4 linked regions of the Oreochromis niloticus genome follow. The protein of the gene in region 4 interacts with the protein of the main gene of each other region in a biochemical or structural test. Links are inferred from orthologs where the notes say so. Each region holds a gene or a part of one and is shown on either strand. Other genes may lie near its edges.

Region 1 (7,180 bases), on a different chromosome or scaffold from region 4:
AACAGAACAAACAGAGTGCGAGAGAAAGAATGAAGGCTCACCTCTGCCGTGATGGAGCCGCAGAGCTGGCTGATGAGGGTCAGCTGGTGCTGCTCCGTGTTCCCCTGCATGATCGGACTCCGTGTCCACATCTCGGCCATGATGCAGCCAGCCCCCCACAGGTCGATTGGAGGCCCGTAGTCTCGCTCACCTGCAAAAACAAAGATAACACAGAAATTAAAAAACTGCACCAGGAGTAGATTTGAAATATATTTTACTTTTTTTTTTTCCTTACCCAACAGCAGCTCTGGAGGTCGGTACCACAGCGTCACCACGCGGTTAGTGTAGCGGTTCCCCTGGCTGTTCTTGGCCAGGCTGAAGGCTCGAGCCAAACCAAAGTCAGCCAGCTTCAGGACGCCGTCTCTGGTTATGAGCACATTAGCTGCCTTCATGTCTCTGTGAAGGATCTGAGCAAAGAACAACAGATCATCATTAATATTCTGACAGTGGAATTTCATTTGGTTTAAGTACACACTGTGTCTCTGAGAGTCTAACCTTGTTCCTGTGGATGTAGTACAGCCCATTGAGCAGCATCTGCATCACCTTCTTGATCTCTGCCAGCGTGAACTTCACGTTGGCATTGCTCAGCAGCCCAGCCAGGTCATGCTCACAGAAGTCAAACACCAAGTAGATGCTGCCTTTGTACCTGTTAAACTGAGTGGCTGAAAAGGAGAACAGAAAATTAAAAACAGACCCCAAAAAACTGAAATCCACACAAAACATGCACTCGTGTCACACTAACCTTTGGTCCTGCAGATCTCGATCAGATTGACAACGTTCTCGTGCTTGAGCAGTTGAAGGATTTTGATCTCTCTCAGAGCTGTGATTGGGAACTAAAGGGGAGGAAAACCAGCTACATTATCATCCACACCAACTTTCAGCACACTGGATTTTAAATGATGCCAAGACTCTGGTTTCTTACCCCTTCTTTCTCGTTTTCCATCAGCACTTTCTTCAGTGCAACTTTCTTCCCTGTCTGTCGGTGCTTCGCTTTGAACACCTCCCTGTACAAGAGACAATTTTAGACAGTCGGCTTTTTAAACTACTCAACTCAAATGGTATATAGCCTAACCTATAGTAGGGTAGAGAAACAACACTGCTGGCATTTGTGTGGTAGACATGATCTCAGTCCACTTCAGACAAGAACTGCTTCATCCACAACATCATGTAAGTGGTGCAGTGCCGCCAGGAGTACTCAGACCTTTACAGACTAAACACTAGGGGTGGGTTTTGATTATCGATTTCCCAATTAAAATCGATTCTAGCTTGAATAACACAATATTGATTCATTAAAATCCTGAATCAATTTAAAAAAAATTTAAATGTATTTTACCCGAAACGCCAGAATCTCAGGTTAAACCTCACAGAATTTCGACAGCCACCAAACAGCTAAAAACCTAAGTGCGAACCCACCGACGCATCAGAATCAGTGAGATGTCCGCTTTCTCACCCGATGGCAAGTACACTGACACCCCGTCTGGGCTGAAAGCCGACAGCTCAAAGACTCTGATGCATCGGCGGGTCTGGATCCAAACTACGCTTCACATAAACATCGTCACGAATTCCCTCTTACTTTTGCTGTTTTGCTTCCACCACGACAAAAATGGCACTTCATGCACAGCTCTCTTCATCTCTTCTCTTCCCATCTAAAAATCTCGGTTTTCTGCATTATTCGCTTGCTTATTACGCACAAGTCTACCGTTATGTACAGCGCTGTTGGCCGCTGTTTTTTGTTTGTGTGGGGGTTTTTTTCTTCAACCGACTTCCAACAAGAAAGCCTCATTTCTGCTGTTCAATACTGAAGAAATTTAAACTTTTTAAAATTATGCAAAATTGCTAAATGTTTAGCTGTGTCTCTAATTGAACCTCTGTAACTTTGCTCGGCTTCACTTCAGCCGCATCAGGTAATGTTGATATGTTGATTCACGGTTTTCTTCTGTTTTTGTTCTACTGCAGAATATCTTTAAGGTGGTTATCTGCTATAAAAAGACAGGCGGGGAAAATCTTCATGTTTTTCTGTGTTTTATGCTCTGTTACTTTGACACAAAGGAATCTGCTGTGATGCTTACACCTCTGATAAAGTCTCACAAGTGTCAGCTTTTGGAATCGAACTGTGGATCGAATCGAATCCGGACCTTGTGAATCGGAATCGAATCAATTCTAGAAATCGGTGACGATACCCAGCCCTAGAATAAACACCCACAGAAGCATGGCACAGCATCGGAGAATCAGCTCATCAGGACAGAAGTCAAGCTGCCTCCCTTCCATCTCAGGGGAGAAGAGTTGTCCCTCATTGAGAATAGAACGCAAAGTCTTTTTTGGTGCTCTATGGATAGAGCCTGGTTTGTCTTCAGCATGTGGCTCATTTAGCCAGTCACAAATTATTCCCGTGCCATATCTTTGTGCCCTGTTGTTTCAGTTGATCGCAGCAGAAGACCATAACCCATGAAAGCTTTGCAACTTTACAAACTAAATACGTTTTAAAAAATATGTCGAAACAACAGGTATCAGCTAATGCCTTCCTTAATAAGCAGCTGGACTAATACAGGAAGGGAACTTCCGTTGTTTACTTGCTCTTCATTCACTCCGTGCGGCTAGCAGTTAGCACAGCTGGCGTTTATACGGAATTCGCAAAGCAGTTAAAGATTTAGTCAGACAACCAGCCTGCTGTGTACTACTCACCCAAAGGTTCCTTGTCCGATCTTGGCCATTTTCTCGTACTTGGAGAACTCGTCACAGAAAGGGAACTCCACTCCGTCGTAGTACTTCGACATGATGGCGGCCTCCCGATCGGGCCTGGACAAAAGGAAAATTCACGAGACTTTAAAGTGGTTACATCAAACAAGGCTTGCACAGAACGCGCCTCAAATGCAGGTGAAACAAACTAAAGCAAACCCGTTTGTTAAATTGAAAAGTAAATAGATTTAGTCTTACTTTTCAGCCCCGGTGGCGTTGCTTGTCTTGTCCCGCTGCATCTTGTCCAACTCCGCGACGCAGTTACGTGTGGAGCGTCTGCGCACGGCGTCACCTCTAGAGCTCAGCGACGCCCCGCCCACTGATCCGGGGGCGGGCTTTAGTTATTCTTTTTTTATTTTTAAATTTATTGTACCCAAAATCAAATACAAATGGGCAAAAAGCTAAAATAATCCCAAAAGAAGCGACAATAAATCAAAACAAATGAAAAATACTTAAGGCGTCTGGGAATGGATCTCAAAACTGGATTATAGATGGCAGACAGTTGGTGTCGTAAACCACCGCCTCTGTTCAAAGATGGTCGTTCACAGTGGACATAGATGGCTTCTTTCACTCCTCTTTCAAACCATCTGTCTTCTCTGTCCAAAATGTGAACATTGGCATCCTCGAAAGAGTGACCTTTGTCCTTTAGATGCAGATGGAGCTGAGTTTGTCCCATCGAGGTGGCTCTTCTCTGTTGTGCCATGCGTTTATGCGTGGCTGTTTGGTCTCTCCAATGTAGGGGTTTGAGCATTCCTCACTACACTAGCCTATACTACATTGTTAAATTTGTGTTTAGGAGTTTTGTTTTTGGGATTAACCAGTTTTTTTCTGAGTGTGTGTTGAACTTTATGTTTTTAACCACTAATCAAAACCAACGAACGAATCCTTCACTGTTCACATCAACTCTGTGGATAAAAACACCACAGTTCACCAGGGAAGACACAAAGGACAACAGTTTGCCATTTCTAGACTGTGCTGTGCACATTGAGGAGAATGAAAACTTCAACATGTTTGTTCTAAAACATTTGTTTTACAACATTTATAACATTTGTTTTACAACAAAAATGGAAGCCACCTTCTTCCCCTTCTCCCAGCACCAATCATCAGATTTGAAAAACTAAATAATTAGTTTTTTAGTTTTCACTGTCAGATCAGTCTTTTAGGTAAGATCCTTAGTATATTTCTGTCTTACCTCCCAGGGAAAACAGCAAAACAAGCAAATATTTTCATATATTGTAGTCCCAAACTCCTGAATTTTATTACAAAATGATGGCATATGTACAAAAGACTCAGGATTTTTACAGTAGTATCATACATAATCTGTATGGTGTCCAATAAAAGCAATGCACAATCTTAAAGTGAAGAAATTATCCCTCGCATCACTGGAAAGTATTTGAATGTTTCTAAATATCCTTCCCCACTCTTTTATTATCCCATTTCAAACTTAAATGACGGTCCCAGGTCTTCTTGAGAGCTAAAAGCTTCATTACCCAGTTTCTGAATCACCAGAGAAAATACACAAAGTATTTTATCAAACCGACTGTGCACAGGTGATAATGGAGGAAAATGAGGCTGTTAAATACCGTACTGAAGTAGAGCTGGAGGTTAAGTGCATAATAATAAACAGGATTTTAGGTTCTCCCGACCCCACCCATCATCAGCCAGCCTCTGCAGTATGTAAACAAGATTATTTCGTAATCCCATCAAACCTAAATAAGAAAGGGGGATCCTGAGGAGTGATGTAATGACTGGTACTAATTTTTAAGATGTTAACAATCTCAACTACTGATGAGTTTAGTGCTGCCCAGCAAAGAGAAAATGTGTGTAGTAATGGATCAAAGTTTGTGCTTCTAACCAGATCTAAAACAAATGCTTTACCCCAAAATGATCTAAAGTTTTTTTTAAAAGCTTTTATGACCTGAAAGTTACTTCTAGCAGACAAAACAGAGACAAATTATCCAAAGGATCCCCCTGAAAACCTGTTTTTGACCTTCCAATTCCTTTTTTAAAGAAAGGCAGTGAATTACTGTTCACCAGGGTTTAGCCCTGAATTTAAGGGTAAAATCTTAGAAAACCGACATAACTGTAAACGTTTGATCAAAACTATGAGTCAAGATACAGTACAAATTTGGGTCTCCTTGCTTACTAGTTTACCACCACATGGGGGCGCTCTCCGCACCAAACCGGACTGATTGATAAATTAATAAACGTGAAAATACAAACCAAGACATTCTGACGACCGCAAAGCAGCAAAAATGCTCATGTAAATTAATAAATAATGATTATGTGTCATAATGAAAACATATATCAAACTAATTTAAGGAAAAAAATACTGATACTGATCTAATCTCAGGTCGTTCTGAAAATTTCCACAGCTAAAAATGAAAGCATGCCATTTATAATCTGTAGATACAACCGTGCCAAAAACAAACAAACAAACAAACAAACAAACAAATGAAAACATTTATCAAAATTAATAGTGTTATAATGATTTATTATAAGCATATTATTGCGTATAATATATAATAATAATATAATATATTATATACTAAATAACTCCAACCAAGATTCTCAGCGGATCATCTTCCTCCATCTCACCCTGTACCTACCTACTATCCTTCACCACATCCATGGCCCTCATCTGTAGTCTTCCTCTTTTCCTCCTGCCTGGGAGTTCCATCTTCATCATCCTTTGTCCAATATAGTCACTCTCCCTCCTGTGCACATTTCCAACCCATCTCATCCTTGCCTCTATAACTTTGTTTCTAAACAACTCAATCTAAGCTGTCCCTCTGATGTACTCATTTCTAATCCTGTCCATTCTGCTCACTTCCGTTAAAATTATATATTTTATTTGCTCATTATTATTATTACTTACGGTTTTGTTCTTTTCACATTCATATTTTCCAAAACCGTAGAGTAGGTCGGATTGGAGACTGTCAGCCGATTATGCCCCCCCTGGCCTTATCGAACACGCTTACTTTATATTTTCTTTTTAAGAAAAGCTTATTTATTGTTTATTATTGTTCGTGTTTTTTATTTGTTTGCGTTTTCACGTTTTTTTTTATAAATAAGTAAAAATGACGGGGGCGTGTTCTGACGTCATTACGCTTGAAAAACGAGCCTTCCATATTTGGTGTCCCCTTCCTGGAACAGCTTCACGCTTCATGATGCTGTGCATGTCGCGCATGCTGCGGCGGGGCTCGGGCATCGCCGCGCGGCTCGCACGGCGGGACCGGGCGCTCAGTTTGGCGGGTCTTTCGTGCCGGCACTACAGCACCGAGACGGCTCCTCACATCCCGGGAATGGAGTATCAGGTACGCTCCGTGACCGCCGCCGCTCGTGCTCCAGCGGCTAACGAGCTAGCTAACTGAGCAGCGAGGCTGTTTCCGAAAGTTTGGAGGTAGTTTTTGGGCTGTTTGGAGTTTAATGGAAACATGGCTGACAGGAGCGCGCTTTGGCAGCAGGGGGAGGAGGGCAGTTAGCTGCAGGCTGCCCGGAATCTGCTGTTACACGTTAGCTTGGACAGCTATTAACAGGTCGCGATGAGACTATCAGTGTCAGTGGCTAAAAGTCTGCGCTGGCACGTGCTGTGGTATTTCTGTGTAGCCATGTTATTTCTGTTAGTTTGACTCGTGCCAGGCTCACCTGACCTTTTCCTGGATGAACTCAGGTGTTTTTGCTGTTTCCTGTAATGTTAATGTGAGTTTTCCGCAGTTTCAGAGCTGGGACTGTCAGAGCTGTCCGTAGTCTGACCTCCACTCTATGCAAAATTGAGGAGATAAGACCCTTTTTATCTCCTCTTGCTGCTGCTTTCACGAGCATTTGGAACATGAAATTTTACACTTGGCGTCCATCATGGATTTCCTTCGGCCAGATATTAAAGAGACTCAATGAATGAGTTTATTGTCACTGCAGCAAAATTATCTTTCAGGATTTTCTGAGTCTGTTTCAACTGTAGACTGTATGTGAAAGATGGAAGTAGCTGTCCATTGACCTCTTGGTGTTGTTATGAAACCCGGCAGGCTCAGGGTGGATCAGACTGCCTGCTCTTTGGTTTATGATTGACGAGGCGCATATCCTGCTTTAGGCTCCACTGTGACTGTAATAATGACCATAATTCATAAAATAAACGCCACATTTTCTTATGTAAGACTTTAAACTCCTGATTGGCCCAGTGAACTGATCAGGAATGTGTTCACTGCAGTCACAAATCAATTAATGCTGGTTTATAGAGAACCAGAGGAGTCGGAACCTGGTGGCGATTAAACAAGGTTTAAGCCACTTCTTTATTGGTCTCAATATGTAGATTATTTTTAGACACAATCTGTCATAATTCTACAGAAATAACTGCTAAAAAAAATCATTTTTTATTAAACAAATAAACTTAAGTATACTTTTTGTA
Region 2 (7,058 bases), on a different chromosome or scaffold from region 4:
CGTACTTGGGCATTGATAAACGGCCAGTGTCTACTCTCATGCTAAGCCAAGTTCATGTGTCCAAAGCACTACACTGAGTACAGACGCTCTGACCGCCTGTTACTCACATGTCAAACGCACAAACACAACTTAGTGGGCGCCTCCCTGTGAGCTGCACTTTGGAGAAACTGAAGGAAGGTGTGAGTCAGTGTGACACGGATGGAGATGGGGACAGACGAGGACAACCAAAGTGTTTTAATATTGGCTGTTAAGATGATGTTATACAGTAGATGAACCAGTATGAGCATGTGACTTTAATTGGTTAATACAGCCAGCCGAGACAGCATCACTACAGACTGTAAATCTGTCGTTACTGCTGCTCATTCAGATCTAAAATTAAAAGGTAGTATGACAAACCAGACTGAATTATCCCCCAGTACCATCCAGTCTAAAAAAAAGACATTAAAGACAACTATAGGTCGTGTCATCATGGCCACTGTAAGTTAGTGATTACCAACTACTTAAATTTGATGTAAAACTGAAAATTCTGGGTTTTGAAGTCCACAAACTGTTTCATGGTCACCTACGTTTGGTCTGTTTCATTCAGAGCACATCATTATACAGCATATGTAAGTATGTCTAAGGCTTATGACTCATCCTTATTTAAATAACAGACATTTAAAGTGAACTTTAACATGGCAGAATGTTAGTGTACAACTTGCAGCTTATACAAGGCCACGTACACGTCATTAGCTTCATTGACAGAGTCAGTTCGTGTCCATGTAGCGTTGGTAATTTAGAAGTAACTCGGCATTAAATGGACAATGAACAAAAATCATGCTTCTATCACTATAAAGTACACGATCCTCTGTTTGTTCACACTATAGTTTCATTACGAGGAATTGTGCGATCCACCTGTCATTAAATCTATCCTGGTACGTGCTGTTACTGCCATCTAGAGGTAAACGGAGGAGCACACAACATAATGGAAGTGCAAACAAAAAACAACACATCAGGTCACAAAAAGTGATCCTTGCATCAATGAAATACTGACGTCTTCATTTAACTTTGACACACTCATTTCAATAAATCCAATGTGAATCACTGCCAGATGTGAGCGCCTGCCTCGCCTTTCCAAACCTACATATTATATTTCCAAATACATTACAATTAAACTGAGGACCAGATTTCCCAATTTAGGATAATCACAGAGGGGCTAAGTGGGCAAACACGTCCACAGGGGGAGAAAGTTCTGTATCTACTGATTTTTTTAAAAAAAAGATGAAGAGTGTCCTCCTCCCTCCCACTGACACTGCACGTCGAGTTCAGTTACATCATGCTTGGTTTTAAAATCAAAATACTGAGGAGCAGAAATATTTGGGGCCTTGCTCCAAACCAACCCATATGGAAAAGAAATAGAAAAAAACTTATAAAAAGACGCATCAGATGTAGCCTACTTCATATAGTGAATCATATCAGGCTTATATGATTTACTCATGAAAGTGGCCACTTTCATATATTGTTTTAGTAAGTATCCAAAACATACAAGTTTCATTTATATAATTTTTCAAGGGATCTTATATCTCTTTTCACTCTTGTATGCTTTTCATACAAGTTTCACACAAGACAGATACAAACTTTATAAGAGAGAGAGATATATATATATATATATATATACACACACACACACACACACACACACACACACATATATATCTTTTCCATATGGGAAAGGGTTCAAGACTCGGTGAAGATCTACGGGAAAGAGGCACCACGCTCTGAGCCGTCCGACTGCACCTAATACTCCAAAAATGACAGGTTTCTCTGTGCACACAGCATGCTATTTAAATATATATGAACTCTCCCCACCCTCAGTAAAGAAGCTTCTAATTAATTATTCATCCCATGAAAGCTGGACTAAATTCCCGTAAAACTGCCAGAATGCTTTCAAATATCCAAGCGTGTTGAATATTACAGCATACCAGCACTGGTCTGCACATTTACCTGTCATAGGGTCAAAGAGTTGGTTGGCCTCGAGGTCGGTGAAGGTGGAGAAGCAGCAGGGACACCGGAAGGATGCACGGTTGGTGGAGTCTCGCTCATCTGTCTCAATGCGACGTCGCATGTGATCCAGTTTATACTTGACCACATTGACCAGTACCCTAAAAAGACGTTAGAAAGAAATAAGACTACTGAGTCTAAAGTGTTCATCATCCGCACACACACACAAACACACACAAAGCAGAGACTTAAACCTGTAATTAATGAAGTAGTAGTTGTGTCTCGTTGTCTTGCCATCGGGCGCCGTCTCCACTCTCATGCGGCACTTCACAAACTTGTCTGCTTTTAGGGTATTGAGTACTGAGCGCAGCTGTTTGCGGTCATACTTGAGCAGCTCCAGCATGTCCTCCTCACGCACACATGGGTTACGGATCAGCACATCCAGCGCCAAAGCATGCTCCACACCATAAAAACCCCTCACGACCTGCTTGGCCAGCCGCTTCAGAGCTGCGGGGACCTCGGTCAGTACCTCTGGTTCAATCATCTTAGGGTCTGGAGAGAAAGGGCTGCAGGGCAGAGTGCGACACCAGGGGAGAACATCAGGAAGGCAGGGATGAGGAGCAGGGCCAGAAGAGTTATTCCAGTATAAAACTTTAAATTTAAGAGGGAAGTGTAAGCTAGACCACATTAACCCAGTGGGAGAAAAATCCCCGTTATAGATATGTCAAATCATCAATCACAGTTTAGCATAGCTTAGCTTAAGTTAGTGGATCCAAACAAAGACTAAAACTGAGATAATGCACCAGGTTGGCCGGGGTTATTGTACATTTTAATCTAATATAGTACAATAGAAACGCGGCGTGTTAATCGTTTTACCAGTCATCTTATTATTCCACACTTTATCTGTAATAAAAGCTCGATAAAGTTACTTTTATTTAAATTAAGCGCTAACACTGAGTTCGCCGGTAGAAACCCGGTAGGCGTTAACGCGACTCTTACCGGTTATTGTTCATGTGCCAACAGTCATTTCAGAGTCTCATACACTGACGTTAACTCACAAAAACACCGCTAAAACTCAATGAACACAAACGCACCTCACAGTCTTTTAGCTGCTGGGTTAGCCAACATGCTTCACTTCTTATTTTGAGACGACGACCCCGGAAATGAAAAATAAACCCGGGCCAACTGGAATGTTGGCCCGGCTGCGCTAAACTGCACTAAGCTGCACTAAACTACACTAACTAGCCAATAGAAGCAAAGAAGCTTGAGTGACGGGCATATTGGCGAATAGCCTGGCTTTGTTTTCATGGGGCGTGGTTTTAAGAACACTGTTTACTTCCTGATCGCGTCTGTCAAAAAATGGCCTCTCTTGACAGGGTAAAAGTGTTGGTTTTGGGAGATTCCGGTGAGTTATGAACTATTTTCACTAGCAAAACCTTTACTACTGTCATCTGCTCTTATTTATAAGGACATTTGCTTATTAAAACTCTTAATCTTTAAGTAGGAGACTGACGCTGTGGTCAGTTTGCTGCTGTGGCAGTTAAAGCTATGGATAAACATCACGTAACACAACTGTCATGTCTAACCTCACGGGTAATTTTCACAATAAAGGTACATCGGCGAGTGATGCTTAATTTTAATACCCGTCATTTTTACATGACTTTGCGGCAGGCGGATGTAAGTGTTTGGGTATGAAACGATTCCACATCAAGAGGTTAAATTTCACAGAAACACGTTTTGCCGAATCAGAGAGCGACACCCTACAGATCATTACAGATACTTACTGATGTTGTTCCGGAGATGTGCTCTGATGGAAGCCGAGTCTGTCGTAAACTGACCCGATGTTTCAGTGGAGCTCAGTTGTCTTCCAGTCAGCAGCAGCTGTAGAGTCTATTCATAATTTAAATGCATTAATATCTATCAGCCACACAAAAATGTTTAACCCTGCAGTCACTGCTGTACTTTGCATCAGCTTCTTTTATCCAGTATCATTTTGTGCTCTTTGCAGGGGTTGGCAAGTCTTCCTTGGTCCATCTGCTATGTCAGAATCAAGTTTTGGGAAATCCATCGTGGACTGTTGGCTGCTCTGTAGATGTGCGGGTAAGCAGGTCCAGCATCTTCTACTTTACATAGTCCTAATTTTGGTCAGACTTCCTGCTGGCCCTTTATATTACTCTCTTATAAAACACAACAGAACACACTAACGAGAGGGAGACAGGTGTAACAGTGAAGCTGAAAGGAACAGGTGGGTGGGTTTAAATACCAGGGGGTCAGGGGTGTCAGGGGTGATCTGTGACAGAAGGATAGCAGCAAGAGTGAGAGGGCAGTTAATGAGGCCTGCTATGATGTATAGTTTGGCAACTGACAAAAAGATAGGAGGCAGAGCTGAAGGTGTTCAGGTGTTCGGTGGGAGTGAGCGGGATGGACAGGTTTAGAAATGAGTCCATCAGAGGGACGAGGCTGGGATGGTTTAGGCATGTGGAGAGAGGTAAGAGTGAGATGGAGCCAGATGAGCTGCTGCGGCGCCCCCCAAAGGGAGCAGTTGAAAGAAGAAGAATCGATGTCGAAATACTTATTCTACTCCAGGTTCAAGACTATAAGGAGGGAACCCCAGAGGAGAAAACCTTCTACATTGAACTCTGGGATGTTGGAGGATCCGTTGGCAGCGCCAGCAGCGTCAAAAGCACCAGAGCAGTCTTCTACAACTCGGTTAACGGTAAACAGTTATAGACAGATCTGAAAGCATTGATTTCATCAGTGACGTGTTATTGAGAAATGCTCTGTCATGTTTGGGTTCTTTTAGGAATTATATTGGTCCACGATCTGACCAATAAGAAGTCCTCTCAGAATCTGTACCGCTGGTCACTGGAAGCTTTGAATAAGGATTCCTCTCCAACTGGAGTCATCGTCTCAAACGGGTGAGCAGATCTGTGTGTTTGACATCGTCCGTCTTCATTCAGAATAATAAACAGAAAATATGGCTAATGTGGAAGCTTTGATTTTTGACTGCAGTGACTATGACAGAGAGCAGTTTGCAGAGAATCCGGTGCCTTTGCTGTTGATTGGAACCAAGTTTGACCAAATTCCAGAAAACAAGCGCAGTGAAGTTCTCACTCGGACGGCTTTCTTGTCTGAAGACTTCAATGCAGAAGAAATCAATCTTGTAAGTCGCCTTTTTCTGCTCTACGAGCTCTCAGCTCCTTTAAAACACATAAATCAGTTTAATTCATTGGTTTATCTCTCACGTAAAGCACAATGTCAACACTCATAGAAAAGGAAACTAGACTAATGATGAAAATAAAGCGGCGATTCTCACACTCCCACACCATGTATGTTTTTCAGTCAGTAATATACAGAAAAATTCTAGTTCACAACAATAAAAACAACACACATGTATCATAAACATCACAGCATCAGTAAGCTCCTGTTTGTCCTGTGTCTGGTCCTCCTGCTGGGGTCAGTTTCACTGCGAGAGCTGAACACTTTTGGTTTGTGGCTGAAGTGTTGTGTTGTTTTCCCAGGACTGCACCAACCCCAGATACCTGGCTGCAGGCACCTCAAACGCTGTGAAGCTCAGCAGGTTCTTTGACAAGGTGAGAGCTGTGACCTGTGTCACTGCGGTCTGTCAGGCAGGTCGTGACTCACACGCGTGTGTGCGCCTCCGTCTTTGTGCTGTAGTTACACGTGTGGATTTATCGAGGGCACAGAAGCTGACAAATAGAGACAAACATCATTTGGCTTTCACGTGTATTTTGAACCATAGAACTGGAGGATAAATGTCTCACATTAATGGGAGTCCTTTCTCTTGACATGTACGTGTGTTCTGACACATATTAAACCTTTCAACAGGTAATAGAGAAAAGATATTTCACCAGAGATCCCAGTCAGGTCAGTTTGTTTTCTCTTTATTTCTGTCCAGTCACAGAGTCGTAACAGTTTTGGTAAAAGGTTGAAGGTGAACTGTTTCCCACTTTCTCTGCAGATGACTGGCTTCACAGACAGAAAACGGTTCAACTTCAAAAGTTTGCACTATGACTGAGACCTGTGATCAGACCCCGCCCACTCAGACACGCGCTGGAAGTGAATCTAGAAAAGTTTGTAAAAGCTGGAAATGACATTTGAAGAAGATGCTGAGGACAGAGAATGAAGAGGCATGCTTTGAGCTTTTTATTACACCATCATAAATGAGACCACACATTTTTAAAACATATGCTTTACTGCTCCTCTGACTCAGGCATCATTCCTGTGCTCCTCCATTGTTTGCTTGATCCACGGGATGAAGGAACTGACTTTAGTGAAGACATGCGGGTACCTTGGATCATTACAGTCGTTTGATGAGGTATAAGCTGTTATGCCTTGAGGCTTTGTGTTGCAGATAAGTGGTCCACCAGAGTCTCCCTACAAAGAAAGACTGATTGAGCGATCTGTGTAAAGGTTGCACATTTTTGTCATGAATAAAAAACTAAACCTGTATTTGAGTTATTAGCTGCTGGGCTGCTTTTGTTATTTGATTACCTGGCAAACACCTCCGTCCCGTCTGGTAAACTTGGTGCATATCATGTGACCAGAGTTAAAGTGTTTTTGCCAAATGTGTTTGCACTCAGTGCTGAACTGCATCTTCTCTGTGGCTTCTTTTAGGACATTTGAATGAGATCCATTAGCTTTGGTTAGTCCCCAGCCGGCCACAGCACATTTAATGTTGGCGGGTATTTCCCCGTTCTTCTTAGGCAGTCCCATGGTCCTCACGTACTTATTCAGCGTGGCGTTCTTTTTCAACTGTCAAAGAGAATCAGTCAAAGTTGCTCCTGCATCAGTTCAACACATGAACCCAGTGCACAGAGAATCAGGTCACTTTAAACATTTCCTTTGACGTGAAGTTTGACAGTTTTACCTTCAGTAACATGATGTCATATTCGTATTGTCCAGTGAATCCTGGATGAGGGTAGTACTCGGCTACTTGGATGCATTGCTGAGTTCTCTCTTTCTTGCTGATGTCGTGTGCTCCGAGCACCACGCTGCAAGAACCCCGGGTCTCATCTCTGAACAACAAGAAACACAATGTTCAAAAAAACGTCTGC
Region 3 (7,836 bases), on a different chromosome or scaffold from region 4:
GTTTAAATTTGGCCACTGCCCTCATGCCAAACCTGCTTTGGTTTATGTGACTGTGGCGAGGATTATGGCCGGTGTGGTGAGGCTTACAAGTGGCATAAATTATTCAGCATGGATCTCCGTCTCAGATTTCTAAAGAATGCGCTGCACAACATCACACTCTTGCGTCAGCCTTTGCATTAATCAGTGAAATAACTGCACATGTATACATTTGAGGTCCCTATGTAGAAGTAGGAAAAATAAACAGTCATTCAGCTTCTTTCAAAGCCACAAAGCACCAACAAAGACAAACAAACAGACCTGTTTCTATGGCAGTTAATTTCCCCCATATGCACATACAGCTCTCACCCACACACAAACACACGCGCACACAGAGTGGAGAGGGAAATTCAGCCTTTGGTTAGTTAGACTAACTAATCTAATGCTAGCTATGTGCTGGGGGAGGGCTTGGGATTGGTGGATGAATGCAATCAATAAAGATTTGTTGGATATACTTAGAGAAGAAAATGTAGTAATATGACAGTCATAAAGAATGATAATGTGGTGATGCAGCAGGAAAATGATGGATAACAACCTCTGAGGCCCTGAGGTAGTTGTTACTCTTTGTGCATCTGCATGTGTTTGAGACAAAGAAGCAGACTGAGCACATTACCATTTTTATGTCATTATGCTGTGACTTGTAACAATATCTCCAAGTGGAATCTGCACAGAAACAGCTGGCCCATTCAAGGGTTTTCGCTATCAGTGATATTAAAAAGCACGAGTCAGGCAAACATTTCACTAGAAAGACAAAGATTATACTGAAAGACAAACAAAAATATTTGAAAAGGCTTGGGGGGCATTTTTGGTCCATTGTAAAAGATTTGAATATAACAGAAGATCAGTCATTCCAGTAATTTGGTGAAACGGTATTTAATCTTGACACTGAACATTTCTTTACAATTTGCTTCCAAGGAGCCAGACGTTTCTTGTTTTTTTTTTCTTGAGCAATGGCTCGCCAGACTAAACACGGACTTATGAATCATTAAAGCATATAAAACGCACTCTGAATGACTCAAGAGATGAAATGAGTTGTGTCCACACATAACAGACAGCTTAGCAAAGTGTCAATTTTAAGTTAAATTTCTAGGCACTTTATTACTAGCAGCACATCACAAAAATCATACAATCTGTTCTCATTTCTTTAGCTGAATCTTCAAAACGCACAGGACATGAGAGCTGCATCTGACTTTTCAGTTGATCCATCTAATGTTCTCTGAAGCCTCATCAGAAATGGTCTCAGTGGAAGTGTGGCTGTCAAGAAGCCATTCTTATGGAAGTGAAACAGAGAGAAAAGGCTGAAGGAGCACTTAAAGCCACGTATGAAGCCTGATAATTTGGGCTGTTTTGAAGGTGTAAAGTGAAAGATATTTTCAAAGGTTAAAGGGATCTTGAGTAAGAAAAGCATTTTGTAACCCCATGCCATAGCCTGCTTAAGTGTAACCATTTTCCGCTTGCAGCAGTGCGTCTCTAATGGAGTAACCAGCACAGTCATAAACCTCACAGGCCGCTGAATTCTGCACATGTATGTATGTATGTTATATTTGTCATTGTTAGTAAATTACCATTAAGAGGGACATTTTCCTGTTGGTCTTCTTTTATGTTTCTGCTTTGCCTCTGTTTTGATCATTGCTAATAACATTTTTCAAATATTCATAAAGCTATTGCATATTAAAAGATTTATAAACGCATCACATGAGGCCATGTTTCAGGCAAATATCATTTGTGCAGCAAAAAATGAGATTATCTCGCTGTGCACAGCTGTCCTCTGTATCATTTCCTGAACAACCGAAACACATTGGAGTGTTCTTTTGTTTTTTTTGGTTCTTTTGGTAGGATAACCATACAAAAGCTTTTTTTCAACGAGCCAGAATCAGCCATGCTTTGCAGATATAAGATGTATACACTCATCAAAGAGTTACAGTCTCAGAGTCGTGGTACTGTTCAAGCAAACCTGAACCAAATCATGCTGAATGATAACCAATAACTGTAAACATGGTAAGTATTGCAGAGCTCTCGTAGCATGTGCATATTCCACACCTCAGTCACTGCTTTTATTTTTTAGCTCCATCTGGTGTTGTCCTGATGCACACTGACTGTCCTGGCTTATGTGCTGATGTAATGATAATGCAGTAGGTGCAGACTGCAGCTGAAAGCATTTTCTTTAAGCAACAGACATTAATATAAGTTGCAAACACAATTGTATTTGTGTTTATCTCACTCAGGTTTAGTTGCCTCAGATCCTTGCCTTTGTTATTTTGCTACCACAAAACCTGACCAAATCATATGAGTCTTTGCGACTGTGGTTTCCTGCATATGCCAAAGAATTATTACACAGACTGGTACTGAGTCACACAGACAAACTGACAGCAATCTGGCAGACCTTTGTTGCCTCTTATGAAAAGAAAAAAAAACTGTGCAGTTTAAAGATTTGTTTTAAATAAAGAAGTTTGAAAGATTCAGTTAACTTTTCTCAACTATTGAGCCACTGATGGGTTTGTGTTACAACACAGGCTAACCACAATCACAATTTGTGTCACAGTCTGGTGCAATGTGAGGTTTGTATTTGTTAGGTTATGCAGTACCATGTGTCTGTTGCATAGGCTGTTTTGGCCGGTAGTTAAAGGTTTGCTTTAGTGGTCTATCTGACAGTGTGAGGGGTATAGTCTACAATGAATGAAGTTCAACATAGCCAGGATTTCTTTGTGTTAGCTGGCTCGACACAAAACCAGAGATAACGGGATAGGAGGAGACAGCCGATATTGCTGGGCTTTTCTGCCTTGCGGATCCATTAGCCCTAAGGTTCGAGTAGGCCTACTCTCTGTGGTATCCTCTTACAGGAAAAAATTCGAAGATCACCACATAGTCACCAACACTTCCAAGTACGAAAAGGGACAGTGCCAATTATCACCACTTTTGGTAAAGAACAGTGGGCCCATGACCCTTCTTTCTCACAAAATGATCCCTATGAGTGCCTCCAATCAGAGATAAAAAAACAAACAAACATTAAAAATATGACAGTGAAACTTTAACCTGCATACAATTAGACATTAAAGGCTTATGATTCATGGCAAACTACCAGACTCAATGTTATGTATTTTATTTGTAGCAGTTAAAAAGGACAAAGCTGTAAAATTGAGTTGCACTAGCCAGTATTTTATCTAAGGTGCTAGAAAAAATCTTGTTTGATAGAGTTAGTGTGTTCATCTCTTCCCTGGATAATCAGTTTGGCTTCAAACCAAAGCATGGCACGGACATGTGCATATATGCACTCAAGGGAACAGTCAGTTTGTATAGGTCCTAAAATTCATCTGCCCTTATGTGTTTCATTGATGCCTCTAAAGCTTTTGATCGAGTGAACCCTGGAAAACGTTTTGATAAATTGAAGCGACGGAGAGTTCCTGGATAGATTGTGAGGATTCTGTCTTACTGGTACGCTCATCAGAAGATGCAGGTTAATGGGGAAGTGGCATTTCTGCCCCCTTTGGTGTTAGCAATAGTGTCAGACAGGGTGGGATTTTGTCTCCAATTTTATTTAATTTATATGTTGATGATGATTGTCCATACAGCTGAGAACCTGTAACACTGGATGTATATTAGGTGAAACATTGATGAATCATCATATGTATGCAGATGAACTGGTTGTTTTTAGTCCAAGTAGTGCTGGATTACAGTAGCTTCTTAATATTTGTACTGAATATGGTGTGCTATATGATATAAAGTACTACGCTGTTAAAAGTGCTATCTTGACATGTAGAACAAAGCAAGATAAACAGCTAAATTTCCTTGTGTTTAAACTGTCCGACGATACTCTTGAGGTTCATAAAAGGTGAAATACCTTGGTCACTTTATTACTGATTAAATGAATGATGATGATGATGACATATATGGACAACGTGGAAACTCTTTGTGCAGGCAAATACTATTACAGTATAATTTTAGCAATCACAGAGCTGACAGTGAGTGGTTCCCGTTACTCATTCACTCTGAGGAAGCACGGGTTGAAGTGTTTGTGTATTTATTGATTTCTAAGTAAATGTGTATTTTATGTATATTATGGTTTTATATCTTTCAAATATTTTATTTTTTTAATTAAGGTTTATATGTTGTGTTGTGTTTTGTTGTTTCTTTTGTTTAACTATGGACATAAAGTCTGTCGATAAAGATTGATTGATTGTTACCGTCCCACGGTGTAATGAAGGAGACATGACAGTCACTATACTTTGTCAGTAGTTCAAACTGAAATGAATTTTATTGACGAAATTCGTGGTGTTCTGTGTTTTTGCAGCTGCAGTCAGAAGCAGATTAGAATCAAGCATAACAACATTTATTTATGTTTTTATAGGTGTTTATAATGCATCCACGTTCCTGTGAAAGTCACTTCACACATCATTTAGTGGTTTTAGTACGGTTTGGCGATTAGCCAGATAAACAGACACGTTCATGTCACAGAAAACTCTAACGTTAGGCTGGCTTAGCTCGCGTAACCATTAATGTATTGTCATTGTACATCGTTCTTGACAATAAATGAAAATGTCCAAAAACAAAACAAATATTGCGTATTCATGTGACGCATTTTTACAGCCCAACGTAAAAGAAACTGAAGGCTACCTCTATTTAATTTGGTCTTTTTCTTTTCCCGTACTCATGTGGACACGTGATCAGAAGAGGTTATAAATAGAGGTGCCACACTCATTTGTTTCTTTGATTCTGAGGCAGAGTAAGAAGTGACATGGCCTCTACAAGCCGGTAAGTGATAGAGCCAAGTAAATGTAATACCTATACTTTCTTTGCATGTGGTTCTAAGATGTTAATTCATAAGAACAAATACTGGTGTGCGCCGTGGTTCCTAAAGCTAAAACACTATACGTCCCTGTGCTTACCGATCGGTGTTCGTTCCATTGTGCTATTTGTTAGCACAGCTAGTTAGCTGGCTAGCAGTTAGCCATTAGATGTTACCAGAAGTCGGTGTTTTTGTTGGACAGCGATGTGGTGCTGATGCTCCTGCTTTTTGCCACGTTATCGTCTTTGCATTGTAGACTTGTTTGTCCACATTTCAACTTTTTTCGTGTATTACAATGGTGTGAAGCTGAAACTGAAGCTAATGTGTTGTTGACGTTACCACTCAGTGAGCAGTTGTGAATCATTTGTAAACACACGCAGTTTCCCGTGCAGTCTGTCTACCTTTACACAACAGTGGTCTGACGTACCCTCCTTTAAGCACGTATAATAAATTACTGTAGTTTAGCAAATAATTTCTGCATTCAAAGTTACTAACATTATTGATTTTGCTATCAGTGGCACGGTAAGGATGTGCGTATGAAGGAGTAAAGTGCAGTTGATTGAGCTAATTTGACTGAGAGTTTCACATCCACTCTTTTAATGATTGCTATTGTGAAGTATTTCCCGTTTTCCTTGCAAAATGTAAAGAAGCGATGGATGTTTGGTTTTTTTTCAAATTCAATATTGTACGTATGTAATATAGGGCTGGGTGTCGTCACAGATTTCTAGAATCGATTCGATTCCGATTCACAAGGTCTCGAATGGATTCAATTTGAATCAGGGAAATTTTGCCTCAGACAGTCAGAAATATTATAAATCTTATCATTTATCAGTACATATCCATATTTTTATATCTATAAAAAGAAAGCTGACACTTGTGAGACTTTATCAAAGGTGTAAGCATCACAGCAGATGCCTTTGTGTCAAAGTAACTTAGGATAAAACACAGAAAATCGATAATCAAAACCCACCCCTAATGTAATATAAATCAGAAATCCACCAACAGTGAAGAGATTACCATCCATGATCTAAAAAAAAAGTGGGTTACAGTTTAATTTGCCAGTGACAGAAATGTACATTTGTGTATAACACCTTGTGTGGTTACAGACCCGGAAGGTCATGTATTGACAAGCATCTGTCAAAGAGATGTGGATTTCTCTTGATTAAACAGATAAAAAAAGATACCTTATTTGTTTCATCCACCCTTAATCAGAAACCTCCCACTCTTTGACTGTTCTGTTACTTTTCGTCATTGCGGCAAAGAACAACACCCACTACTCTCACAGATTACCTAAACTAAGTAAGAATGTATATCTCTATATATAACTCAAGAAAATCTCCTTTCAACTAACCGTGAAATGAACATAAATTCTCAGGTTTCTCACACAGGACGTTATTCCTGTATTTACTTTTGTTGCTTCCACCCCAGACACATCTGGCCAGTGAGCGGACTGAACATTCTCATATGATTTGTTATGACCAGAGATGGGCAGTAACGCGTTACTGTAATCTGATTACTTTTTTCAAGTAACGAGTAATGTAAGGGATTACTATTGCAAAAACGGTAATTAGATTACCGTTACTTTCACGTAGGAACGCTGCGTTACTGCGTTACTAAAACCGTGATTTTTTTGAGAGAACGTCTCATGACAGTGACGTAAGCGAGTGCGACGTTCCTGACAACAGCTGTGTGCAGATCATAATATATCGAGTGCGGGACAGAGTGTAGCATGCAGCGTTTAAAGCGTGGAAGTACTGACCTTATTTTGAGTTTGATTCCATAAAAAGTGACAAAAACATTAGTGTCCGTTGTGCGTGGGAAGAAAACTTTTTACAGCGAAAAAAACCCCCTAAACTTCCAAGCAAGCACAGAGTGTACTGCGACGTAATGTGAAATTCACAGAGAAACTCGCGGATTCTTCCACTGACCGCTGCGGCACACCTGCACCAGGGTAAACCTCCGCCTACCCCAGTCCTGCTTTACAGGTGAAAATAGAGCAACAGGACCGCTAGTCTTTGATTTTATTTATTTTCTGCTGTGTTTTACTTGCATCTATTTGAAAGAGTGAGTGTAAACACAAAAACATATTTTATTTTATGAGCTGGAATGTGCAGAAAATAGGTTTAAATGTTAAACAAATTTCTTCCAGTCAGAGAATGTTGCATATAATTAAGTTTTTGCTTAATGCATAAAGTTAAAAGATTAACACTAATAAAACAAGCTTTAAAAAGAGACATTTCCATTTGATTACATTTTGTATGATGGATTATGCAGAAAAATCTATCGCTTTATCACCTATTCAGGTTGTAAATCGTGTTTTTAAAAAGTAACTAAGTAAGTAATTACTTTTGAAAATAAGTAATCAGTAAAGTAACGGGATTACTTTTGGGGGGAAGTAATCAGTAATTAGTAACTGATTACTTTTTTCAAGTAACTTGACCAACACTGGTTATGACACATTTTTTTTATTCGCTTGACATTCACTTGAATTTTTCTGTGTGAAAACAAACCAAAACACGGGGAAAAGCAGCAAGTTTGCAAACTGATCAGCTGAGTCAGACCAGAGTAAAATAATTTTGTGAAAATGCCCTAAAATTTTTTAAGCTTTTTTTTTTTAACGAGATCAGAGTTCAACAATCTCAGGCTCAGTGGGAGAGAGAGTTCCAGAGTCTGAATTGTTTCTCATTTAGTTCTCAGCCTTGTATGATGCACAGCCGACAGGCCCTGATCACATGACTTCAGGGAACCTGCCAGGGATGTAAAAGTTCACTGATGTACAATTGTGCCTGTCCATGCATAACCCTAAAAGTCAAACCCAGGATCTTAACGTGGACGTTAATGGGGAGTCGGTGCAACCGAATTAACAACAGTGTGAAATGTGAATAACTGGAAGACTCAGTCAGAACAGGCGCTCTAAACAACCTGCAGATGAAGAGTGACACAGTGGAACTCAGTCACTAATTTCTTGATGTAGGAAGTTGGGGATTTTAGTGTGGGTGGCTTTTTACCTTCAGTTT
Region 4 (7,799 bases):
AGACAAAAGAGAGAGCTTTCCTTGATAACATGGGTGAAGACCTGAAGAACAATACAGGTGTCCTTTTACCGGATGTGGTACGTAGTTAAAAATGTTATCTTGTAAATGCTACACAACAAATGCGATGTAACGTGATGCACAGAAAACACGGTAGTTATTTTTTATCTAACACAATTTTCTCTGTTCTTGACATCTTTGCAGACAGTTGCAAACTGCTTTTCTTCATCTATGGTACTGAAAAGCAAACAGAGTCACAGCTTTATATTTCCAGTTCATTCATTTAATTTGCATGTTTATTTGTTGATTACAATAAGTCGTCTTCTGTAGATGGTTTCAGGTGTTGGAACACTTACCAGCACAAGCAAGGTGAGCAGTGAAGGAGACGGGGAGACTGGTAGTATTATTCTTGGCCTCTCAGAGCAGCTCGTTGTTGCAATGACTCCGTCGACTGAGACGCAAATAAAAAAGGAAGTACACACTTCAACAGTGGGTAAGACAAAGCTCAACCTTATGCTAATAGGTCAAATTTGAGTTCTTAGTAAATACAAACATAATGAATGCATATCTGTGTTCAAGATATGAGTCTAGTGGCCATTGGTTCATTGAGCCATGACAGCAAGAGTTCATCCCTCTCTGCCAAGGAATGTGAAATGAAAATCAACTTGGAGGATCTAGCTAGGGCCAACAATGGTAAGAGCTTTTTTAAAAAAATGATGACTGACACAGGTGCATCAACATCAGTGTTTTTGTTGTTGTTGGGTTTTTTTGTGATGTGATCACTTCCAGGTTCTATATCAGCCGCCTTTCTGACGCTAAATGGGATGGAGAGCATTCTCAGTCATCAATACTTCAAAACCAAGAATGTGACAGAGATGTACTCAGATGTTTTAACTGCCATAATACCAGGAATAAACACCACCAACCTCACAGAGCCTGTCAACTTTACAATTCAACACAAGAAGGTGTAGCATCAAGATTGTACACATAGAGTGTTTGCCTCCTTCCTGTTTTCCTGTTTTTTTTGTATGTTTGTCACACTTAAATGTTTCAGATCATCAAACAAATGTAAATAATAGACAAAGATAACGCAAGTAAATACAAAATGCAATGTCTAAGTGTAGGTGTTTGTCATTAAGGGAAAAAAAAGTGATTGCCCCCTAACCCTAATAACTGGCTGGGCCACCCTTAACAGCAACAACTGTAGTCAGGCATTGCAATAAGTGGCAATGAGTCTTTTACAGCTCTGTGGAGGAATTTTAGCCCACTCATCTTTGCAGAATTGTTTTAAATCAGCTACATTGGAGGGTTTTTGAGTGTGAACCACCTTTTTAACGTCGTACCACAGCGTCTCAATCAGATTGAGGTCAGGAATTTAACTTGGCCACTCCAAAGTCTTAATTTAGTTTTTCTTAAGCTGGAGGTGGACTTGCTGATGTGTTTTATTATCCTGCTGCAGAATGTTGTTGTGGAAGTTTTAGATTTAAATAAAGCCTGCAGACAAGCGGTGAGTGGTAGCTAACATTCTTTAACAACATAATCGTGCTTTAGAGTGAGGTCTTGAACAGATGGCCGACATTCTCCTTCAGGATATTTTGGTAGACAGCAGCATTCATGGTTTTCCAGGTCCTAAGGCACCAAAACAGCCCCAGATGTAATGGGACTCAAATCTTCCAAAATCCTCTCCTTTTGTCTCATTAGTCCACAGAATATTTTCCAAAAAGTCCTCAAGATCATCAAGATGGGTTTTTTTTTTGGCAAAGGTGAGATGAGCCTTTTGGTCAGAAGTGTTTTACTTCTTGAACTCTTCTGTGGATGATATTTTTGCCGAGTCTCTTTCTTATTCTTGAATCATGAACTCTGACCTTAACTGAGACATGTGAAGCCTGAAGTTCTTTAATGATGTTCTGGGTTCTTTTGTGATGTCCTGGATGAGTTGTGAATGTGCTCTTGGAGTAATTTTGGTAGCCCAGTCACTCCATGAGGAAGCAGGAAGCTTTCCAGACTCATAGCTATCAGTGACTTTGTTTCTCAGTTGTTTCTTTAGATTGTGGTATGATGTCTTACTCTCTTTGACCAAAATTAACATTTGTGCTTAATATGCAAGACACTAGGAAATCAGGAAGGGGGCAAACACTTTTCACATATTATATTGAAAAAGAATCAGACTTTTTATTCTTGCCTTTGTTTATTTATTTATTTTTTTTAGGAAGTACCAGAAAATGGAATGGTCACTTGTGTGTACTGGGAAGCTGGAGAAGCCGAAGGTGGACAGAATGGAGAGACAATGCGTTGGTCAAAAGAGGGTTGCTGGGTTGCATACTCTCAAAAAAACTACACTGTTTGTAGCTGCTCTCACCTTTCTACCTTTGCTCTCATAATGCAGATTGGGGAGGTATGTTAGTTACATGTTGGTAAGGTTGAAGCCTCATTACTTACAGGACTTAACATACTTGTACATTTTTCAGATTTTATTAAATTCACAACCCACAATTTGACAAATGGAAACATGCAGTGTATATAAGCGGTTAAATCCCTTTTTACATTTTAAGTGGAAGAAAAAAAATGTTTTGTAATCAGTCAAAATTTCTCTAGAACTTTAATTCGGTATTCTGTCAAACTGCTTTGTCAACAAGTATAGTACACTTTACATACCCAGTTTTAGACAGGTTATCCCACACTTCTTGGCATATGCTATCAAACCTGGGGAATTGTCTATGGACTGAAGGGAGAAATAACAGAAGGACTATAAATTGAAATAGGGTCCCAAAAACTGAACTGTAAATTGAACTGTGGACTTGTGGAATCATTACAAGAATCATTACTGCAGAATTAGAAAGATACACAACCTAAAAATTGCTCTTAAAAAATCTTCAACTTGGATTAAGTCTGAAATGGATCACCTGGATCTTAGACATTTGTCAGCTTTAAAGCATTTTAAAAAGCCATCCATTTTCATCTGCATCCATGTATCTCATTTTCAGCCTGTGCCACAGAATGACTTCTTAGAGTGGCTGAACCGGATATGTGTGATTATTGGACTTTTCTTTTTGGCTTTGGCCATCCTTACCTTCCTTCTGTGCAGCTGGAATCCCAAAATTAACAATACTGCCCGTCTCCACCTCTGCCTCAACCTGGCTTTTTCGCAACTCCTCCTGCTCTGGAATGACAAATACACTGATAATAAGGTACAACGTGGCTAAACTACAAGAATTATCAAAGGATTCTCTATTGTGTTCCAGTTGTCCATAAAGCTTACATTCATTTATCCGTCTCTACAGCTGGCCTGCACTGTCATGGCAGGGCTTCTCCACTTCTTTATTGTTGCCAGTTTTGTGTGGATGTTGCTGGAGGCACTACAGCTCCACCTGTTGGTTAGAAGGCTCTCCCAGGTGAAAGTCATTCAAAGAGATGGTCTCCCCAGGCCTCTTCTCTATCTGATTGGCTATGGTGTTCCATTTGTGATTGTTGGTGTTTCTGCACTGATCTATTCTGATGGATATGGACGTACTAAGGCTAATGTGTAAGTCGGACACGGTGCAATGCACAGATTTATGTATTAAATCCTTTTATTACTAAATGTACAAGACTGGATAATGGTCTCTAATGTGCGTTTTCATTGTAGATGCTGGCTGTCAGAAGAACGAAACTTCAAATGGGCTTTAACAGGGCCAGTGATAGCGATCCTTGCTGTGTGTCTATTTTTGTGTTAGAACTGTATTACACATTACATGTCTTTTCTTAACGTCATAATTTGTCTCAAAATTAAATTATAAATCTGTTTATTTTATCAGCTTAATTGCATCCTGTTTGGTGCAACTTTATGGAGTCTGCGGCCCACCTTGGCTAACATAAAAAGTGATATCTCTCAGTCCAAAGATACAAAGTAAGTTTAAGGTTTTATTTAATTTAAAGAGCAAGCTCAAATTCTGAGTAATCATTATGATTTTTGTGTACTTAAAGCAGCTTTTAAAAAAAAATGTCACTCAGTAGAGACTCGAGACTAATTGCAATTTCCATTCTGATTTTGATTATTTGCTAAATGACAACACAGATTTTTCCCTATTTCAACTACAATTGACATTATATAGAAAGAAAATCAACTTTTTTCAACACAAAATATTATTTGCATAATAAAAAATATTAAGCTTATTAAACTTTTGGTCCAAATTGAGTAAGTTACAGGATTTTCTCTGTCAAGCACGCTACTAATTGAATAGAAATTAGCTGCTGTATATCCACCTTTATATCAGATACTTGCATCATTTTCCCGTATACTTATGAATTCACTAGATCAGAGCACATCAACCCTTTTCTCTTTTTTCTCACCTGTCTGTAATTTTCCTTTCACAGCTCTTGCCTGACTCTCTTACTTGTGGTTGGTTCTGAGCTGTGAATAGTTTAGCTTGAGTCACTTTTCATTTGTTGGCTAATTTTAAAAAGTACACAATTAAGTGTTTGATCAGGTTTGTCATAACAAACATTTTCTATGGTGGTTTACTTTGGCGAACTTTGTGTCTTCACTCGTGGTGGGGAGTTTCCATGCTGGCAACTTGTTGGCATGCGCCTGTGAGTGTGTGCACAACTATTTGCATGCTTTTCCATGTGCAAGTAAATAGTTTTTTATTTGTGCACTGTGAGTGTGTAGAAATAGTAGTTTGTAACAATTTGCTCATGAAATGTATGTGCAAGACGCTGACCAGCCAGTCCCCCTTCTGGGCCGGAGAAGACTGGAAATTGGGAGATACCTTTCCCTTGCCAGACAATCAGTTCATCTCTAGAGACTAAATATGTCATCCTGTTTGACTATAAGTGCAGTTACAGTAGAGAAATAAATTCATTTAGCATACTGATGTGATTTTATTTAACATCCTGCTCCAATGTTTTGTAAAGAACTGTAAAAACTTTGTTGTTCTGTTTGCAGGTTGATTTTGTTCAAGATATTGGCCCAGTTTGTTATACTTGGCTGTACCTGGATTCTTGGCCTGTACCAGACAAACCTGTTCTTTCAGGTTGTTTTTATAGTTCTGAACTCCCAGCAGGGTACTTTTCTCTACATTGTCCACTGTGTCCTCAACAAAGAGGTAGACTCGTTATACCAGTGTTTCTTAACATTTTTCTCACATACTATATGTCAAACTTTTTATAATTCATTCTTCATAAGAATGCTGCACAGCAAGAAGGTCCTGAGTTCAATTCCACTATCAGGCCGGGGTCTTTCTGTGTGGAGTTTGCATGTTCTCCCCGTGTTTGCGTGGGTTCTTTCCGGGTACTCCGGCTTCCTCCCACTATCCAAAGACATGCACTTAGTGGGGATAGGTTAATTGATTAATCTAAATTGCCCATAGGCGTGAATGCGGGAGTGAATGTGAGTGCGAATGGTTGTCTGTTTCTGTGTTAGCCCTGCGACAGACTGGCGACCTGTCCAGGGTGTACCCTGCCTCTCGCCCTAGGCTCCAGCGCCCCCCGTGACCCTGAAAAGGATAAGCGGAAGCGAATAGATGTGTTCTTTATAAGAGAAAAAAAAAGATTTAAGTTAAATGTAGTTAAATAAAAGCTAAACTCTGCCCCACTAGCAATGGCTCTGTGGCTCTATGGATCTAGCTATAGGGCATGCACCACAGTTTGAAAACTCTTGTTTAATAATGACCTGCTCTGTGATTTAACATCATCTCTATTTACAACATATTAGTGGTATTTTTTTACGAGTTTTATGGTGAGAGTAAATTAATTTATTTTTCAAAGTGTGCATTTATTTCATATTCTAGATTAGAGATGAGTATGTCAAATGGCTGACCTGTTCGTTCAACAAGACCAGAGAAGGCGGCTCAGTGGTAAGTTTTGCATAGCAGCCACTTGACCAATGAGACTTTTTCACTTTGCCTACCTGTGTTGTAAATGTGACTGCATAAAGTGTTGCTTTGCTTGTAATAAATTTAAACCTTTTCTAAAAATGTTTTTTAGTTCTTCTAAAGTATCAGCACTACTTTTTTGACAGAAAAATGTACCATCAGTTTCCGAGGACTTGGACATCCCTCAGACGTCAACATCAGCTGATGTTGATAAATAAGTGACGGGAAACATGGAAGAAATAGAAGATTTATCTACTTTTCTGCTAATAACTTTTTACTTTCTTTTCAAATATTTCAATTTGTACTGTGAATTTACCTTGTAAGTTCTTTTGTCATGAAAAATTAGTGCATTTTATGTAATACTTGTGCTTTTCGATATTTAGAAAGTATTTTAAACTACTACTTGCTGATTAAATGTCCCAAGTTTTTCTCCCAAATGTTCACCTTTATTTTGAAAAGGTTATGGCCAGATATAGGTGCACCCAAATCATACATCAGATTTTGGGTTGCACAACCAGTTATTAGGGCTAGAGGACAATAACTTTTTCACACAGGACCAGGAGGGTTTGGACAGCCTTTTTTCTTTAATAAATCTAGTTGTTAAGCAAACATTTGCTTACTTAAGTTTTAGTTTTGCTTACTTAAAGTTGCTTAATGACGATTGATCAACGATTGACCAATGATTGATTCAGTGGGTGGAGTCAACTATTGTACAACTGGCTTGTAATACAGTTTTACAGGATTGCAATATACTCCTTTTAATGCTATTAAAGTGCTTGGTTGTGGAATTTACATACTGCTTAATTTGACTCAATAAAGTTACCTGACACCCAAAGTTCTGTTTTTGACCTTTTAAATGAATTTAAAGTAAATACATTATTTACTTTAATTTAGAATTTAGGAGGAAGAAAGTTGGTCACTAATTATCAGTGTCCCATAATACGGTTTACTCATGGGTGCCTTTTTGGCATGAGGAAAGGAAGGAGTCTTGCCCTTTTTACAGGCCTGAAACACAGCCGCACAGTATGACTACATTTTTCATGCAGGTGCCATGATTACTGCAGCTTGACGAGAGCACACAGTAGGGTGCTGGTGGAGGCTGAAGGAGGAGTAGTTGGTAACATAAAGCAAATGCAGGCACTGATCGTATACATATGAATTAGCATACACAAAACACTGATACGGTTGGTCTCGAAGTAGGAGGGAGCTCTGATGCAGGTTTTGACTGAAAGCTTGAAATGTTTTTTTTGTGTGAAAGGACAAATATTCAATAGATCAGAAATACGAGATGGACTAGAGAAAAAGAATGACAAGCAGGACAGCCCCTGTTTTTTAATTTCACAAATAAAATAGCTATTTGATAAATTTTGAAGTGTATTTTAAAAGTCCTTAGTCTCTAAATTGATTTGGTCCAGATTTTAACAGTATTGGGAATTTTAAGTATAACTGTGTTCATTGTCTTTGAGATCTGAGAAAGGAACTAAAGAAAAGAATAAATGCTTCACAAATCTGACAGGTTTTTTTTGTTTAACATGAAAAAGACATAAAAGTCCTGCATGTCACATTGTGTGTATCTTTCCTAGGTCCTTAACATAGTCAACACAAGTTGGTGAATTTGCATTGCTTTTTGCATTCACATAATGCTTTTAAAAGCAATATTTGGGTGTTGTTCATGTTTTACAATGTGAACATTCAGAACAGATCTGGAGACTTGACTTGACTTGTCACTATGGATTGTGTCTTGTCACTTTTTCTGGGTAAGTGAATTTGACAGAGAAAATAAACTTTTTGGAACTGAAGGTATTAAATTGATGTCAGTGCTAATTTTAATGAGAAAACTAGATTATTAAGATGGAACAAATTTTAGTTTAGATTCTGGATTCAAAGAGACATATGTCTATTCAAATAATGGTAAATTCTAAACAGTTACTATTACTGACTACTTCAAGT

What was found.
Region 1: the proteins of gtf2f1 (region 4) and cdk9 form a complex in vitro, tested with the Homo sapiens proteins (2 studies listed by BioGRID, with this or other methods). The link is inferred for Oreochromis niloticus from reciprocal best matches to the Homo sapiens genes GTF2F1 and CDK9.
Region 2: the proteins of gtf2f1 (region 4) and gtf2e1 form a complex in vitro, tested with the Homo sapiens proteins (3 studies listed by BioGRID). The link is inferred for Oreochromis niloticus from reciprocal best matches to the Homo sapiens genes GTF2F1 and GTF2E1.
Region 3: the proteins of gtf2f1 (region 4) and gtf2b form a complex in vitro, tested with the Homo sapiens proteins (3 studies listed by BioGRID and IntAct). The link is inferred for Oreochromis niloticus from reciprocal best matches to the Homo sapiens genes GTF2F1 and GTF2B.

What each region holds. Positions count from the first base shown.
Region 1 is NC_031972.2:34,705,031-34,712,210, forward strand, and holds the start of cdk9 (cyclin-dependent kinase 9), read right to left. Parts: upstream 3,129-7,180; 5' UTR 3,015-3,128; coding exon 2,974-3,014; intron 2,836-2,973; coding exon 2,722-2,835; intron 1,044-2,721; coding exon 962-1,043; intron 873-961; coding exon 782-872; intron 702-781; coding exon 535-701; intron 447-534; coding exon 275-446; intron 191-274; coding exon 42-190; intron 1-41. Other genes in the region: fpgs (folylpolyglutamate synthase, mitochondrial), read left to right, coding at 5,856-6,092. UniProt on the Homo sapiens protein: Protein kinase involved in the regulation of transcription.
Region 2 is NC_031987.2:1,404,480-1,411,537, reverse strand, and holds the start of gtf2e1 (general transcription factor IIE subunit 1), read right to left. Parts: upstream 3,124-7,058; 5' UTR 2,994-3,123; coding exon 2,980-2,993; intron 2,547-2,979; coding exon 2,235-2,546; intron 2,142-2,234; coding exon 1,984-2,141; intron 1-1,983. Other genes in the region: rabl3 (rab-like protein 3), read left to right, coding at 3,340-3,385, 3,989-4,080, 4,567-4,696, 4,784-4,898, 4,993-5,143, 5,502-5,573, 5,830-5,868, 5,963-6,019; granzyme F, read right to left, coding at 6,484-6,756, 6,872-7,019.
Region 3 is NC_031982.2:10,684,246-10,692,081, reverse strand, and holds the start of gtf2b (transcription initiation factor IIB), read left to right. Parts: upstream 1-4,646; 5' UTR 4,647-4,768; coding exon 4,769-4,785; intron 4,786-7,836. UniProt on the Homo sapiens protein: General transcription factor that plays a role in transcription initiation by RNA polymerase II (Pol II). Involved in the pre-initiation complex (PIC) formation and Pol II recruitment at promoter DNA.
Region 4 is NC_031969.2:16,047,290-16,055,088, forward strand, and holds the start of gtf2f1 (general transcription factor IIF subunit 1), read right to left. Parts: upstream 2,982-7,799; intron 2,720-2,981; 5' UTR 2,653-2,719; intron 2,393-2,652; coding exon of another isoform or gene 2,207-2,392; intron 963-2,206; coding exon of another isoform or gene 787-962; intron 691-786; coding exon of another isoform or gene 577-690; intron 491-576; coding exon of another isoform or gene 328-490; intron 232-327; coding exon of another isoform or gene 202-231; intron 78-201; coding exon of another isoform or gene 1-77. Other genes in the region: adhesion G protein-coupled receptor E2, read left to right, coding at 1-77, 202-231, 328-490, 577-690, 787-962, 2,207-2,392, 2,982-3,185, 3,279-3,520 and 5 more; adhesion G protein-coupled receptor E1, read left to right, coding at 7,579-7,606. UniProt on the Homo sapiens protein: TFIIF is a general transcription initiation factor that binds to RNA polymerase II and helps to recruit it to the initiation complex in collaboration with TFIIB. It promotes transcription elongation.